2 linked regions of the Struthio camelus genome follow. Each later gene encodes a partner of the first gene's protein in a complex. Links are inferred from orthologs where the notes say so. Each region holds a gene or a part of one and is shown on either strand. Other genes may lie near its edges.

The links. Proteins that work in one complex are often made in the same cells at the same time.
Region 2: GTF2A1 (region 1) and POLR2H share a complex: the UniProt entries of both Homo sapiens proteins name them as parts of the TBP-based Pol II pre-initiation complex. The link is inferred for Struthio camelus from reciprocal best matches to the Homo sapiens genes GTF2A1 and POLR2H.

The regions. Positions count from the first base shown.
Region 1 is NC_090946.1:60,988,026-60,995,691, forward strand, and holds the start of GTF2A1 (transcription initiation factor IIA subunit 1), read right to left. Parts: upstream 3,128-7,666; 5' UTR 2,877-3,127; coding exon 2,847-2,876; intron 1,929-2,846; exon of another isoform or gene 1-1,928. UniProt on the Homo sapiens protein: TFIIA is a component of the transcription machinery of RNA polymerase II and plays an important role in transcriptional activation. TFIIA in a complex with TBP mediates transcriptional activity.
Region 2 is NC_090950.1:22,750,610-22,758,084, forward strand, and holds the start of POLR2H (DNA-directed RNA polymerases I, II, and III subunit RPABC3), read right to left. Parts: upstream 3,039-7,475; 5' UTR 2,943-3,038; coding exon 2,870-2,942; intron 2,173-2,869; coding exon 2,089-2,172; intron 1,005-2,088; coding exon 911-1,004; intron 706-910; coding exon 622-705; intron 503-621; coding exon 385-502; 3' UTR 1-384. UniProt on the Homo sapiens protein: DNA-dependent RNA polymerase catalyzes the transcription of DNA into RNA using the four ribonucleoside triphosphates as substrates.

The DNA of each region.
Region 1 (7,666 bases):
AAAGAAGTAACACTTTATAATATATATTTATAAGCAATTACTGCAGCTGTCAGACTTTTACAAAGGAATTACTTTCATCACCTACAAAATCTTTTACTGCATATAAACATTAACATTTTATATGCCCTGTATTAGGGAGAACACACTTCTAGCAATTGAGATTTGATCAGATGTTGACATGATGCTGTTGGAAAAGTCTAGCCTGCTAAAGTTATCATGCAGCTGCAGTGTTTCAAACTGCTCTTAACCATAGGGTTATCAAAGTGGGCAAGTGCAGTCGTTGTTACTACTGAATGAAATTTGAATTTTACAAAGTTAACCGTGCACTACTGATCGCAATAGGCAGATCTTTGCAAGGTTCTGCTTAGCTGAGAATCAGCCTAAAGCATAGCTAGCTTCATCAGGCTCATTTTAAGTTTTGCCTTTGTTAATTTGAACAGAATGTTCAAACACAGACATTTCCCGAGAGACTTTCACAAAGGTTTTGTTATTCCAGTATAGAGATACAGCCCAGAGAAAGCAAGCCTGAGTAAACTGCTGCAACAAAGATATTTACAAGTACTTTGGAGATTATTCACAGTAATATCTTTTTTCTTCTATTCATTACTAACTTGATTAAAAAAAAGGGGGGGGGAGGGAGGGAGGGAGAGAGAGAGAGAAGTAAAACCTCTAATTTACTGTACAGAAATAACAGAAATGGAACCTTTTCAACTAAAAAAACAAAGCCAGAGGTTTATGAAGAGAAAGATAACTAACAGATTTAGGTCACACACATGATATGCTTTTACTGAGCAACTGCCCTGCATGTAATCACTGACTAATTTTCTAAGACTCTCTGATGCAAAATCTGCTAAAATATCCAAGCAACAGATGCTACCTGGCGACTACATGACTCTACATCATAAGCAGGTCTGTGAAATTTCAGATTTGAAAGAAAAAAATAGTATGTTTTACATTTGCTACTACTGCTATTTTAAGCAGCATATAAAATAATTAAATAATTAATAATTGGAATTAAATGAAAAAATAGTAGAATTCTAAAATCTTTGCTCTTCCCAGTCTGTAATAAAAATATTTGCATGCTCATTAGCTTTTGTCACCAGAAACACTCCCAAGTATTTAAGTAGTACCTGTGGCCCATTACCCACAGACAAAACTTTAATATTAATTAATGATGCTTTTAGCTCCAGAGCTGCTGTCAGCCCGCGCTCGGACCTTGGCAAAGTGCCTAGGACAAGTACCACATCTCTTTTTGACACACTGGATCTGAATCATTTAAATTGCTCTTTCCCTACCCGGCAGAAAGGCTATTTAGAAGAGCTTATGGGCACACAGGACTCTGCACTCTCTAAGAAGAAAAAAAAAAAATCCCACCCACAAGCAAACAAAAAACAAACACTTTCACAACATGGGAAAGGGTGAAAAATCCCTTCCTTTGTGCAATGCATAAATACAGGGGAAAGTCCATTTACACCAGCGATCACCAGTCAGGAGAGCATCCCCTCTACTCGAGCCGACAGAAAGCACAACTGCTTTACAGCCCGCTCGCTCCAGCGACTGGGACTGAAGAGCAACAGCCGGGCGCAACAGCAAACCCAGCTAAACCCGGCACAGGATCCGAGTGACAAAAAGACTGTCTCTCAGCCTCTGCCTCTGATGCATGCACCTCCCAGCCCGCTCTCCGCGGCTCTCTCCCTATTTAAAGGCTGATGTGGTGTTTAAATGGAGAGGCGGTGACGTGGGGCTGGAAAGCACCTTCCCATCCAGGCAGAGTCTATATTAGAGAGCGGCAATAGCTCTATATAAACAGGGCAGCCGCAGGGAGGAGGAACACAAGGCGCAGGGAGACAGAAAGGCAGGGGCGGCCATGATGGATCCCAGCGCCACAAACAAGGGGCCAAGCCCGCGCCGGGCCGCCTGGATTCCCGGTTTGTCTCGGCGGTGCGGGGGCGGGCTCGGGGCCGGTTGCGGCGTAGAAAGGGGAAAAGGCAAGAAGCGATCGGTGGGGCTCGGTGGCTACGCAGGTTTATGTGACTGCTTATTGCAAACCTATGTGAATACCAGTACAACAGCAAGCCACCCAAGAAGGTGCAGAAAGCACAAGAAGGTGAAGACCGGGGAGGGGGGGTAAGAGTTTTCTTTCTTAAAATAAATACTTCCTCGCTCGCTGGAAAAAAGTTAAGGGCTTTCGCCTCGTTTAGCCGATCCTGCAGGGCTGGGATAAGTGCTTTTCAACCATCGTCGCCTCGTTATAAAGCAACATAAAATGGCTCCAGCAGAGCCCGGGCGGGTTTCACCTCACAGACACCACAAAACCGAAACCTGGCCCGAGTGCCGCTTCCCCTCTCGCCGGGACGGCAGCGGCGGCAGGCGGCGGCCCCGCGCCTCGCTCCGCTCTCGCCCCCGTCCCGGCGGCTCCCTCCCGCGCCCCCCGCCGCCCCTCCCCTCCCCTCCCGTCCCCACCGGCGGCGGCGCGGCCCCGGCCTCCCCGCGGGGCTCCGCGGCCCGCCTTGGCCGCCCGCGCCCGGCCGCCGCCGCCGCCTCCCCGCGCCCCTCGGCGCCGCCGCCGCCGCCCGCCGCTCCGCTCTCTCCTCCCCGCCGCCGAGGCGGCCGGCGCCGGGCGCCACAAGTGGGCTCCCCGCCGCGCCCCCCGCCGCCCCCGCCGGGCTGCCCCTTCCCGCCGGGGGTGGGGGGGGAAGGGAGAGAGACAGAGAGAGAAAGAGAGACGGGACTGTCCGAGGCGGCGGCGGGCGGGAAGCAGCGCGGGGGAGGGGGCAGCGAGCCCTGCCGGCCCCCGCTGCCTGCGCTGCCCCCGGGCCCCCCTCGCCCCCCGACCCGGTCCTTACCACGGGGTTTGTGTTAGCCGAGCTCGCCATGTCCCGAGCCCCCCGGGACGCCCCCAACCGCGGGGGGAGTCGCCCCTAAAACAATAAACCTGCCCGGCTGCGTCCCCCCAAAATCGCGCGCGTCCCGCCCCGGCTCACGGGCAGCCCCGCGGCCTGGCCCGGCCTCGCTCGCCGGCCCTGGGGCTGCAGCCGCCGCCGCCAGCCGCCCGCTCTGCCCGCTTCGCCCCTTTATATAGCGAGAGCCGAGCAGCTGCGCGAGCGGCCAGGGCGAGAGGGGGACGCGGGCGGGGGGGGGGGGCGGCGAGGCACCGCGAGAGCCTGCGCGAGAGCGCGCCCTTGCGAGCGCGTCACGTGAGGTGCCCGCCCCGCCGCCATGACACTTACTGAGGCGGAAGTCGGTGCGGAAGGTCACGCACCGCCTTCTCGCCACCGCCAGGCGTACCGAGGCGGAAGTCGCCGCGTTGCCGCCTCACCGGCTAGAGGCGGTGGGAGCGAGGCGCCGCCTCTCGCCGCGTGATGTCACCGCGCCAGGCGCTCGCCTGGCCGTGGCTGCTTCTGCCGCCGCCGCCGCGCCGCCCCGCCTCGCCTCAGCGCGTCCGGGAGCAGTGGGCTGCGGCGGGGCGGGGTGGGCCCGGCCCGGGGGGCTGCCGGGTGCCCTCAGGCAGCCGTTACACTAGGAGGCCTGACTTCAACCGAGCTGGCACTTAACTGCTGGTCGTGAGCCGGCAGCCCTTGCCAGCCAGGCACGGCAGAGCTTAAACCACTCCGACTACGTTTGTAGGAGCCCTCTGCTCCCTGATAACCAAACAACAACAGAAATCCCCAGCCTCGCTCTCCCTGCCCCGTAAGGACACACGTCTTAAACTCAGCCTCGCCCGATGGGGGCTCATGCCTTCAGCCACCAGCAGTTACACAAAGCAGCCACGGGCCTAAGGCCTGTTTCTGTCAGCCACAGGCCCCAAAGTGCTTCCAAGCTCCGCAACGCACTCCAGGCTGGTGATAGGAAACCTAGGCTACAGCTTCCCCGGGCAGGGAGAAGGTTAAAATCAAAAAGTCAGCAGGGTCCTCCATCAGGGACTCACTGTGGCCCTCAGACAATGTTGCGTTGGGCAGAACTGCTTCCTTTAGCTGATCCTGATGGAGTCAGTGGCCGCAGGGTCTCCCAACTGCACGAGGAGTTGTCAGAGCCATGCCAGGTGGCTTCTCGTTTCCCCTCTTTATTGCCTCTTCTCCCTTTCCTTATCCCCCTTTTTCATGGCAACCTGTAAGACACATAATGCAGGAAAATCCTTTCAACCTTGAATGCTGTTAAATGGAAATTAGGTTCACTCACCACTGCCATCTTCACTCAGTCCTTTTTAGTGCAAGTTTTGAACCCAACTCATCCTGTAGATTATCACCAATAAGTCACCTGTGTAAGTCTCACTCAGACATAAAGTAATGCTGAATTCTGACTCCTCACACATAGAGCATAGCATGTTACACCTCCTCAGCATGAAGACTGTGCGACTACTTGTGACCTTCAACCTAACGCCCTACCCATTAAGTAGCAAGTCTGAGAACAACCGTCTGGTATCCTTCAGTAGGAGGGAACGTGCTGGCCGATACAAAGACCTTCCTGTCCCATCCCATTCTTCCAAATTCTTCAGTTCTATAGTGATGAATGCTTCCTCTCCCATCTGAAACGCAGACTTTGTATAGGGACATGACAGATTTACAGCGGGCCATCTGATGGACCTACTCTTCATTGCGTGATCTGCTGGAGCCCTGGCAGAAAAATAGCCTGAACGTGAGACTGTTAGCAGAGTTTACAAAGTTTTACCTTCCTCAGCTGTCTGCTCCACCTTTTTGCTGGGCATTTCCACTCCCATGGCAGAAGTGACAGGACTGAAGGGGTGCTACCTCCTCAGCAGCCATAATTCATGATCTAACATTAGCTAAACCATGCATGAACTACAGGGACTGAAATGCTAGTATTCCTTTACTGCCTACTTATCAGAGACATCAAACTCTCTCAGAGAGTTTGTAAATTGGACTTGTAAATTGTCTAATGCTCACAGTCAAAGCCTTGCATTTTCCACAGCTGAAATAACTACACAAATAGTCACTCAAAACTTGAAGAAGAGGTTTTAGCAAAGGTACATTTATTTTCTCACAGCTAGGACAGGCTGAGTTCACACATGGTTAGTTCTCTCACTCGCTCTGTCTCCTGCTCTGCTGAAGTGACAGGCAGTAACTAGTGTGCCACCAGGAATGAATCATATTGCCTTGAAAAGGGGAGGGATACAAGTGGCACTGGAAAGCTACAGTTCCTTTCCTTAGATAGACCTAAGCCTACCCTGGTTTTGAGGGCGGCCCACCGAGCCATTCAAAAATTAACAGGTGGACATGGTAGCAGTAATGGTTCAGTGAGGTGTCATACTGCTTTGTGGAACAGGCACACAGTTCAGTAGACTATGCTCCTAGGTTATCCTGTGTGCATAGCCACAGTTTCCAATGATATCCAGGGAATCTGTGGCACTGCTAACTTCCAAGAGCTTCTAAAAGAACGTTGCTATGAGGAAAATCAAGGCCTCGTAAGAAATGCCCTACTGAGTCGGGTAGCGCTCTGGCTAATCCGGTGGCAGTAAGATTTACTACTTAGGGAGAGCAAGTGAGTTGTTAGCCGCTTTCTGAAGTCTGTTCGCCTTCCTGCTTCGCCAGCATCCACAGCTGTCCTGTTGTACTCATGTTGGTGGGTTCTACTTCATTTAGCAATTCTGTTAGACTAGAGTAACATAAGTGTGTACCTATGGTACAGTAGGAACACTGATAACCTGGATAGCACTAGTATACATAAACTGACAGACAGCATAACCACTAGCATTAGCTATGTTTATCCATTAGCATTCTCTTTTGTTTGCCAGTCAGGAGTGGATCATACTAAGCTTATGTGCTATCCTGTCTTTTTTCTACCAAAGGTTTCTGTCATTGCCAAGTCAGCCTGATTTTGCTGCTCTAATAGTGCAAGTTTCAGTGTTGACTGGACGTTCATGTTATAGCGGCTGTACCATCTAGACGTGAACTCCATAGTGATGCACATTATATTACTTTATACCCAGTATGAAGATGACAACATTTGGGTCCTCTCCTTCCTTCATCGCAAAAAGAGTGCCAAAGATGGAATAGCATAAGGAAAAAGCACAATACTGCCTTAGATCAAAAAACAATCCTTGGCATGCTGAGTGAGGACATACATTACAAGAAGAGTCCCAAGCTCAATCCTAGGTATGATCAACAATCTTTCTAAATCTAAATCATTTCTAATCTAAATGTTTAGGACAAAGACACACAAATCATCTTTTATAGCCAAAGCCATGCACTCAGAGGTGCACAGCCTACTTCAGTGCCCTGAATGATTCTGTTCTGTAAGTGCCATAAGCATCCCTTGCTCTCAGTGGAGCAAGAAAGTGACTTACTACTGCAACATTAGTTTGTTAAGTTAATGTAAATGTTTATGGAAATGTTCTTAGCACCTCTCCTTTGTGGTGCGTCACAAAACTACATCTTTTACAAGAAGGGTTTGGGGTTTTTTTGTCTTTTTTTGTTTTAATTCAGATGTAGGAAGGGGGGAGCCATTTTCATTATGATTTTTGGGTTGATAACACTTCCATCCTAAGGTTCTTTGCAAGTACTAATGGACTGCTACTAATGCATAGCATATCTTTCAAGAAGATATTTTGCAAAAGGAGAACTGATGTAAGAGGGATAAAAAATATTTGCATAAATACTTGCTACTGGCAGGAGCAGACTTGAAATTCAAAGGTGATAAGTATCTGTAATTTCCATGAAAGCTGCGGGCTAGTTCAACTGAAAACAAGAACCACAAGATCGTGATGCTTTCTTTAGTATTAAGTCAAGATAGATTATATTTATGACCTTCAGCTTTTTATTTATCTCTATTTTTTTTTTATTTTTAAATAGAGAGGCTTTTTGGCTCATCTGAAGAAAATACAAAGAAAAAAGTTAAGCTGATGTTCTCTCTCCCAAGAACAGATGATGAATAAGCCTAATCTCATACAACTAGAGGATCACTATCAGATTGCCCTGATTTTTCGGTGAAAACGTTTCTGATCATACAATGAATCACAGAGTACCTTGTATCAGATGTTGCTGACACAGTGCTTTATAATTTCTTAGTTCTGGAAACATCTGATAAACTTGGTAAGTGTAATTATGTAAACAGATTTTCCCCAGGGCTTATTTAGACAAGGAAAACAGAAATTGGCTTTAACTATATTATAGAAGTGCAAAGCTGTAACACAGATTATACAGAACACGCGTTACCACCAGCACATCTTCCAGTTTCATCATCCTTAGGTTTTGTCCACGCTACTGGTCTTTGCTACTGTAGTTGGGCAGGAAAAGTCTTCCACTATGGACATGACAGCAGCATACAGTTTTCAGCCAGTATATTACACTGTCCTACTAAATACAAGCTAAGCCAGCAAACACTTTTTAAAGGCATGTTTCGTGGCATAATGATAATATCAGGAAGGGAGAGAGGCTTTCTACCCCCTTCTTTCCTAACAGTTTCCCAAAAGAATGGGGAGTTACACATCTAACTTCCAACTGCAGCAGCACATATTAAAAAGATAGAAGAGGAGCATAGACCGAACCAAGTCAGTCTAGAAAACTTAACTGGAGAAAAAGATGCTTGAAGTTATGCTCACACATAAATTTAGAGCTTATACATCTAATTCACTCTTTTTGCTTACGCTCACAGTACCAAAAAAGAATGTGACCTTAAATAAAACTTGAAGTTGTTAATGAAGTGTCTC
Region 2 (7,475 bases), on another chromosome or scaffold:
AGGCCTGTCTCAGGATGGCTCCTCAGATAAGGTTCCCAGCCCCAATGCAGACAGGTGGCTGTCTCAGTCCAGCTGCCCCTGACTAGGGCTGGGGCTGAGCCTGATTTTGAAGTACAGAAAGACAGGAGGTCAGAAGAGACTACCACCTGACAGGACTGCAGAGCACCCGGCATGGCCCCTGCTTGGCTGTCAGGCACCTCTCTCCGCGTAGAAGGGGGTTGCAAATCCTGGCAAGAGTCAGAAAAGACAAGGGGGGACCATCCCCCTCCTCCACCAGCACCAGAGAGGCCAGGGAGCATGGATGCAGGGTCACAGGCATCCTGTTTACTTGCCAGCAAAATGTCTCTGGGACAGTCCATGGAGGCAAGATAGATGTATCCTCCTCTAGAAGGCCAGCTTCTTCATCAGCAGGTAAACCCTGGAGTCCACTTCAAACCCATGCAGATTGTTTGCATCTCCCTGCAGCCGCATGAGCAGCCCCCCATAGGACACGTAGGCAGAGCTGGGGCAGGAGGAGAGGATTAGTGAGACGGGGGAAACCCACAGGAGATCCTGTCTGACATCCCTGTGCCTCCCCTACTACCCTGGGGCACTGCTCCCCCTCTGGGGACAGACACTCACAGGCGTGTGGCTGCCTCTGTGGACGTTTCATCCCCTTCGATCCTGTACACCTTGCCGTACATCACGTACTCAAACTGGTCTGCCCTGCAATGGGACAACGGGAGCTCAGAGAAGAATCAAAGCTGCATACTTCCCTTTTCCTGGCATCCCCCATCCAAGCACCCTTTGGGAGAAGGTACCACACAGCCTCTCGGCATTTAAGCTCTTTCCTCGCCACCACCTGGCTGCTCTGTGGATCCCAGCAGGCACAGCTTGTGCCACCCACCCACGCCAACTGGATCCCTGGTACCTGGAAGGTCTATCGTCTGTGGGGTTATACTCCCCGTCATCCAGGGTGCCGTCTTCGTACAAGGTGCTGGCAATGACCAGGCGGAATTTGTCTCCTGGGATAAGAGGGCACAGGAGCCGTGAGAACGTGGGTGGGCGCAGCCAGATCAGCATCAGGCTCATGGGGCAAAGCTGGCAGTGCCACAAGCTACTCATTGCAAGTACCACATGATGCAGGCCACATACAGGTGAGCAAGCCAGTCCCAGCTCCATACAGCAGGCACGAGCTGGAGTATGGGAGCTGGGCACAGAGCACTTCTCATGAGATCCTCCATTGTTCACCCAAGGGCACCGCTCTCGACACCAGGAACACACATCTCAACGTGCAACAGCACAAGGGCCTGCCCTCCACGAGGCCCAGAGTGAGAGATGCCAAGCAGCACCCTCCCAGGCAGTGAGAAGAGCTCAGCATGATCCCTCCCCCATTTCCCCCCTCTCTCCATCTGAGACTGGTTCCAGGTTCCTTGTGACCTTTCAGCCTGGCTTTTGGGACATCTATAGCAGATCTGAGTAGGTAAAGGCAAAGGACTGCTCCAGAGGGTTTGGCACAAGCCCCACCCCTGTGTTCAGGCCTCCAAGAGGATTGTGGGGAGCGAGGAAAGATCATACCAGGCCCTTTGTCTCCTCCAGTTCCCCAGTCGTGCATCACCACCACGGAGGAGACCAGAGCCACAAGGGTACCACAGATGACATTTTCACTGGACGTAACAACAGATCTCCATACAGTGTCCCAGAGGGTGAGGCTGAGCTCTGGACAAGTACCTGAGACCCTATAGCACTAACTCCAGCCTTCCTCACTATGGCAAGACTCTGTCTTCAACCACAGGAACTCATCTCAGAAGTTCTCTTTAAGGCTTAGTCCCTAGCAACCGATGCAATTTCACCGCAGAGCGTATATGGGGAACAGGGCACAACAGAACCCAAATGAATATCATAGTGAGGTGAGACAGAATCCAGGTCACGCCAGCAGAGCAAAAGTGCCCAGCACCACTCACCTTCTCTGATCTGGGGACAGCAGAGGGGTCTAGGAAAGCCTGAGATCAACCTTGCTCCTCTGTGCACCAGTGCGTGCCTTCCCCCACCCCGGGCCGACACCAGCTCACTCCCGGCGCATTCTGTGCTAGCAGCCCGAGAGCTCACCGAGGTCCACAGGGTAGATCTGGATGTTCACGTCCAGGATGAGGTCCATCTTGAAGGACTCGCTCTCACAGTGCAGGCGGGACACTGTGGAGAGCAGCAGAGTCAGGAGCAAGGACACAAAAGACCGCACAGGCTGGGTGGGTGAAGGGTCCCAAGACTGCGCCATCCTCCCACCAACCAAGCATGAGCTATTTGTGGGAGCACAGGGCTTGGGGCTGGTCCAAGAGCCTGGGGCAGACACAGGTGTGTGTAGGAAGAGGAATGGGAGATGAGGCTGTGTGCATGTAGATGGAGCACACCAGGAGGTAGAGCAGCCCACGGTGTCGGGGAGGAAGGGGGCAGTCCCAGGCTGGGGGTGAGGGCCCAGGGCACACCGGGGTGAAGGGCGGACAACGCGCCTTGGGTGGGAAGGGCAGAAAAGGAGATGGGGCAGTCGCAAGCTAGGTGTTTGTGTGAGATGGGGGCACACTGAGGAGAGCAGCCTCGGGCTGCGGAGGGGGAAGGGGAAGCAGATGTAGCACACTGAGGGAGCAGTCCTGGGCTGGAGGAGGGAAACGGGACAGGTGGGCGGGGGGGGCCGAGGGGACAACGGGGCCCGAAGGGGGAGCAGGGGGACCCGCAGGGGGAGCAGTCCGAGGCTGGGGAGGGGGAGACGAGGCACAGCGGGGGGGCGGCGGCAGGCGCACGGCCAGGGAGGCGGCGGCGGCGGCCATGCCGGGCGCCTTCGAGAAGGTTCCCCGGAGGGCCGGCGGCGGCGGCCCGGGCGCGGAGCCCCGCTCACCGCGGTCGAACTTCTTGCCCTCGGGGTCGATGTCCTTCACGTCGAAGATGTCCTCAAAGAGGATCCCGGCCATGGCGCCGCCGCCTCCGCCGCGCGCGGCAGCAGGCCGGAAGTAGCCTCGGGAAGGGGGCGGGGCGGCGCTGGCGCCTGCGCACTGGCGGGCCCGGCCGGCCGCGGGTGTCCACGCGGTCCTAGCGCCCCTCCCGCGGTCTCTGGGGGCCCCCCTCGGGCTCTTCAGGGACCCCCCCCCCACACACACACCCCGCCGCTCCGCGCTCCCCGGCCGTGTGCAGCGCCGAGCACCCCGCGGGCCCCGCAGCCCCTCAACGGCCCGGCGTTACGCTGGGCACCTCCGCCGACTGGGCCCCCGGCTGGGGCAGGCGGAAAGGGGGCACTGCAGTTGGGAGTGCGTTGCAATTAGGGGGTATTGCAATTAGGGGGGTACCTTGCAACTCGGGGGTGCATTGCAATTTGGGGTACATTACAACTGGGAGTATTGCAGTTGAGGGTGCATTGCGGTTGGGAGTGCGTTGCAATTGCGGTGGCATTACAACTGGGGTGCACTGCAGTTAGGGGGTGCCTTGCAATTGGGGGTGCATGGCAAAGGAGGACAGTGCAAAGAGAGGGGTGCATTGCAGCGAGGTGGGGGCACTGTGACGAGGGGAGCGCACTGCAGTGGTTGGGGGTGCATTGCAGCAGGGAGTGGATTGCAATGGGGGGTGCTTTGCCATGCGGGGTACCTTGCAATGGGGGTTGCATTACAAGGGGGGGGCGCATTGCAATGGGGAGGTGCGTTGCAGTGGGTGGGGGGGTGCATTGCCGGGGGGGGGTGCTGGCTGCCGGCCTCGGGGGGGCCCCGGGACAAGCTCCCTGGCGCGTTGCTGCCCACCCCGAGACTGGCGCAGGAGCCGGGCAGGGTGGGGGGCAGGCACGGGAGCCGACCCCCTTTTGGGGGGGCCTAGACCCCTTTGGGGGGGGGGGGGCTGGCGCAGCCAGCCGGATGCCGGCAGGGGGAGCTGCGAGGCCGCGGATGGCAGCGGCCGGGGCCGCGCACGCCGCCGCCGCCCCGAGCGAGCGGCGCCGGGGCCGGGGGGCCCCGCAGCGGGCTCGCCGCCCCGATCCCCCTCCCCACCGCGGCGGCGTCGCGAGGAGGCGTTTGCCCTGGGCCCCGCACGTGCCGCCGGGCCAGCGGCGGCCACTGGTGTCATGAGTTTGGCGGACTCGGCTGGCCACGGCGAGGGGCCGGGCACGGAGCGGGCGGGAGGCTCGGGACGCTGCCGAGGCTGCCCCCCCCGCCACGGCAAGCGGTGCCACCGTGGTGCCAGGCAGGCAGGCAGGACAGGGTGGCCTCTTGCCCCCTGCAGGCGCTGCCGCCACACCAGGGGCCACCATCTAACCAGGGTGTGTGACCCGCCGTGCTCCGGCCCCCCGTGGGCCACCAGGCATGGGTGCCGTGGGGCTGGCGGTGGCACCGGGGCCGCGGTCCCAGCTGGCGCGGCGGCGCTAGACGTCGGGTGGGGGCCGGGGGTGAGGACAGGGCCAACGGCTGTCACCCGGTGGCCTGCAGATGAACCGGAACGGCAGGAGGAGGAGGAGAAGGAGGAGAGCGGGAGTCTGACAGCGCCGCGCGGGATTTCGCGCCTCGGGGCGCCGCGGGGTGCCCAAGCGCCTGGCGTCTGCTCAGGGAGCCGCGAACGCTGGGTCGAAAGTTCAGCCGCGCTGGCGCACACGCGGGGTCGGCCCTGTCCCCCCCCCCCCCCCCGGCCCCCAAATGCCACGTGCCGCCTGGCTTTAACCTATTCTTCCCCGGCTCGGCCGAGACTCGTGCCAGCCCATGCCACCCCGTGGCCCCATGCTGGGGCTTTGCCGAAGTTTGGGGAGCGGGTGCCAGGCTGGAGGTGGCACCGAGCGGTGCTGTGCGGCACAGCGGTGCCCCTCCGCGGGTCGGGAGATGGGGGCTTGGTGTCTGGGCCAGGCGTCCCCCTGGTGTGGGGACGCTGGAAGGGAAGGCGGCATGGTGCCGTGTGTGGAGCACATGTCACCAGCCGGCCTGGGCACTGTGGATCTCCAGCGCACGGCTAAGGCGGCTGGAGAGAGGTCTCTCCAGAGCATGGCCCGTGGTGTCCGGAGACGAGACATCTCCAGTGCTTGGCCATGGTGTCTGGAGGTGAGACGTCTCCAGAGCGTGGCCCATAGTGTCTGGAGCCGAGATGTCTCCAGCACATGGCATGTGGTGTTTGGAGCCAAGGCATCTCTGGAGCATGGCACTCGGTGTTTGGAGCCAAGGCATCTCCAGGGCTTGACCATGGTGCTTGGAGCCGAGACATCTCCAGCACACGGCGCACGGTGCTTGGAGCCGAGACGTTTCTGGCACGTGACCCACGGTGTCTGGAGCTGAGTTGGTACATAGCCCATGTTGCCTGGAGCGGGGATGTCTCCAGGGCACGGCCCCGGGTGCTATCCGGAGCTGAGGTGTCTCCGCATGGGTGCTGTGATGTCTGGAGCGGAGACACCTCTGGCACCCCGGCCGGGCTGGCTGGGTCTGGCCTCTCTGGCGCGTGCCCCGTGCCCGGAGCCGGCCGTCTGCGGCGCAGCGGGGGGCCGGACCCGGCGACGGCACTGCGGGCACGCAGGTGGGGACGGCGCGGCAGCGGCGTACGCTGGCGCGCGGGGGCCGGCGGCCGATCGGGGGGGCAGCCGGGCGGTTCACGGCGGGGTCGCCCCGCGGCGGTGCTGCCGAGCGCGGGAACAGCCGCTCGGCTTAACGCACTGCGACGTCACCTCCAATCTCCGTTCCTTCAAATCATCGTCTCAGCGGCCGGGTCTCCTCCCCCCGCCACCCCCCTGCCGCCCCGCGCTCCCAGTCTGCCCCGCCGTGCCCCCCAGCATGGCAAGGGTGCCGTCCGGGGGGCTGGCAGCGACGTTGCTGTGCCCCAGCCCGCCCAGGCAGGCTGGCACGGTACTCACGGCTGTGCCAGGGCTGTGTTTTTTGGGGAGGGGGCCTGGTGTGGCGCTGGGATGCTCCCCGTGCTCGGGGGTGCCTGCTAGGCGAGGACAGGGGCATGGCTGTGTCCCCCCCCTTTGGGTGCTCTTGGGTTGGGCCCACTGCGAGGTGACAGGAGGGGACAGGGTTCACCCCGGGTTTATTGCACCCAGCTGCCCCTGTCCGCCCATCGCTGAGACCTGGCACATTCGGTGCAGGTCGGCAGGGCTCAGGACAGGCGGCGTGGGCTGTGTTTGCCAGCTGGCAAAGCAGGCGCCCGAGGGACGCTGCTGCCCACGACCTCCGCCAGCTGGAGGCAGGCAGGATGCCGGGGAGCGGAGGCAGAGGGACGGCAGCCCGGACGCCTGGGCCCCGCTGCCAGCTCCGGCTGCTTCCCTGCCCTAGCGGGACGAGGGTACATCCGAGGGGAGCTGCGGCGCGGGGCGAAGGTGGGCCTGGCCCGGCTCGTGCGCTGGTGGGGCAGCGGGGCCAGCCAGGCGCCAAGCCGCCCGCGGAGGCCAGCTGGCGAGGGGAGGATGGCGCCAGCTTTCCGGGTGCCCCCCAGATGCCGCGGTGCCGGGGCGGCAGCGGGGACCTGGCGCAGCCCCTCGCCCCCCCGGGGACCGCAGCCGCCTCCTGCCAAGCCCTCCCTGGCTTGGCCGGTGCCCAGAGCTGTAAATCAAACCTGCCCTTGCCCCCCTGCTTGAGGCCGCCGGTGGGGTGGGGGGGGGACCGGGGGGGGTGTTGGCACAGGCACCCCGGCATCCGGCTCGGGGCTCCTGGCCCTCCGCGGGTGCCGGCCGCCTCGCTGACCCCGTGCCAGCGCGGTGGGCACCCGCGCGCCGTGCCGCAGGTGGCCGTCGGGGAGCCGCGGGGGGCCGCGTGGGCTGCGGGGCCACGGGCAGCGCCGCTCTGGGGGGGCTCCGGCCGCGCTGGGGGGGCTCCGGCGCCAGGCCCGGGCTTGGTGCCGGCAGATGTCAGTGTAAGGCCGAGGTGGTGGGAAACACGGCGCAGGCTGGTGTTTCCGTGCTCTGCCCGGGGCGCCCCGCTGACCCGGCTCGGCCCCGGCGCCCCGGCCCCGGCGCCCCTCCGGGCCCAGGCCGCCCTCGCTGCCCCCGGCACACGGTGCCGCTGCGCCGGCGGGGTTTGCCAGGGGGGCAGGAGCGCGGCGCGGGAGCACCCGCTTGCCAGCCCGGTGCCTGGTGTCTCCCCCTTGTCTGGGATTAAGCAAACCCCGCTGCGAGGGCGGCTGGGGTGGGAGTGTGGCGGGGAGGGGGGGAAGCACCCCGCCGGTGCCCCCAAAGCAGGGCACAGATGGGCACCGGCTCTCCCCCCACCTTGGGGCACCCCCAAACACCCCGGCACCGGAGGGGACCCATCGGCGGGGGGTAACCCCCCTCCGGCTGCCGGTGGCCCGGCCCGTCGCGGGCCGGCGTGGTGGCTGGCAGCCCGGTGCCCGCGGTGCCAGGCTCCCTCGGGAGCCCGGGGGGCCCGGAGCCCCCTCCGCTCGTTAGCTGCTCGCCTGTTATCTGCAGCCGATAAATTATACAACACAAGCGCGCCTTTGAAACGCAGCCAGGCCCTCCATCCGGTTGCGGCGGGGGGGCGGGGGGGGAGAGGAGC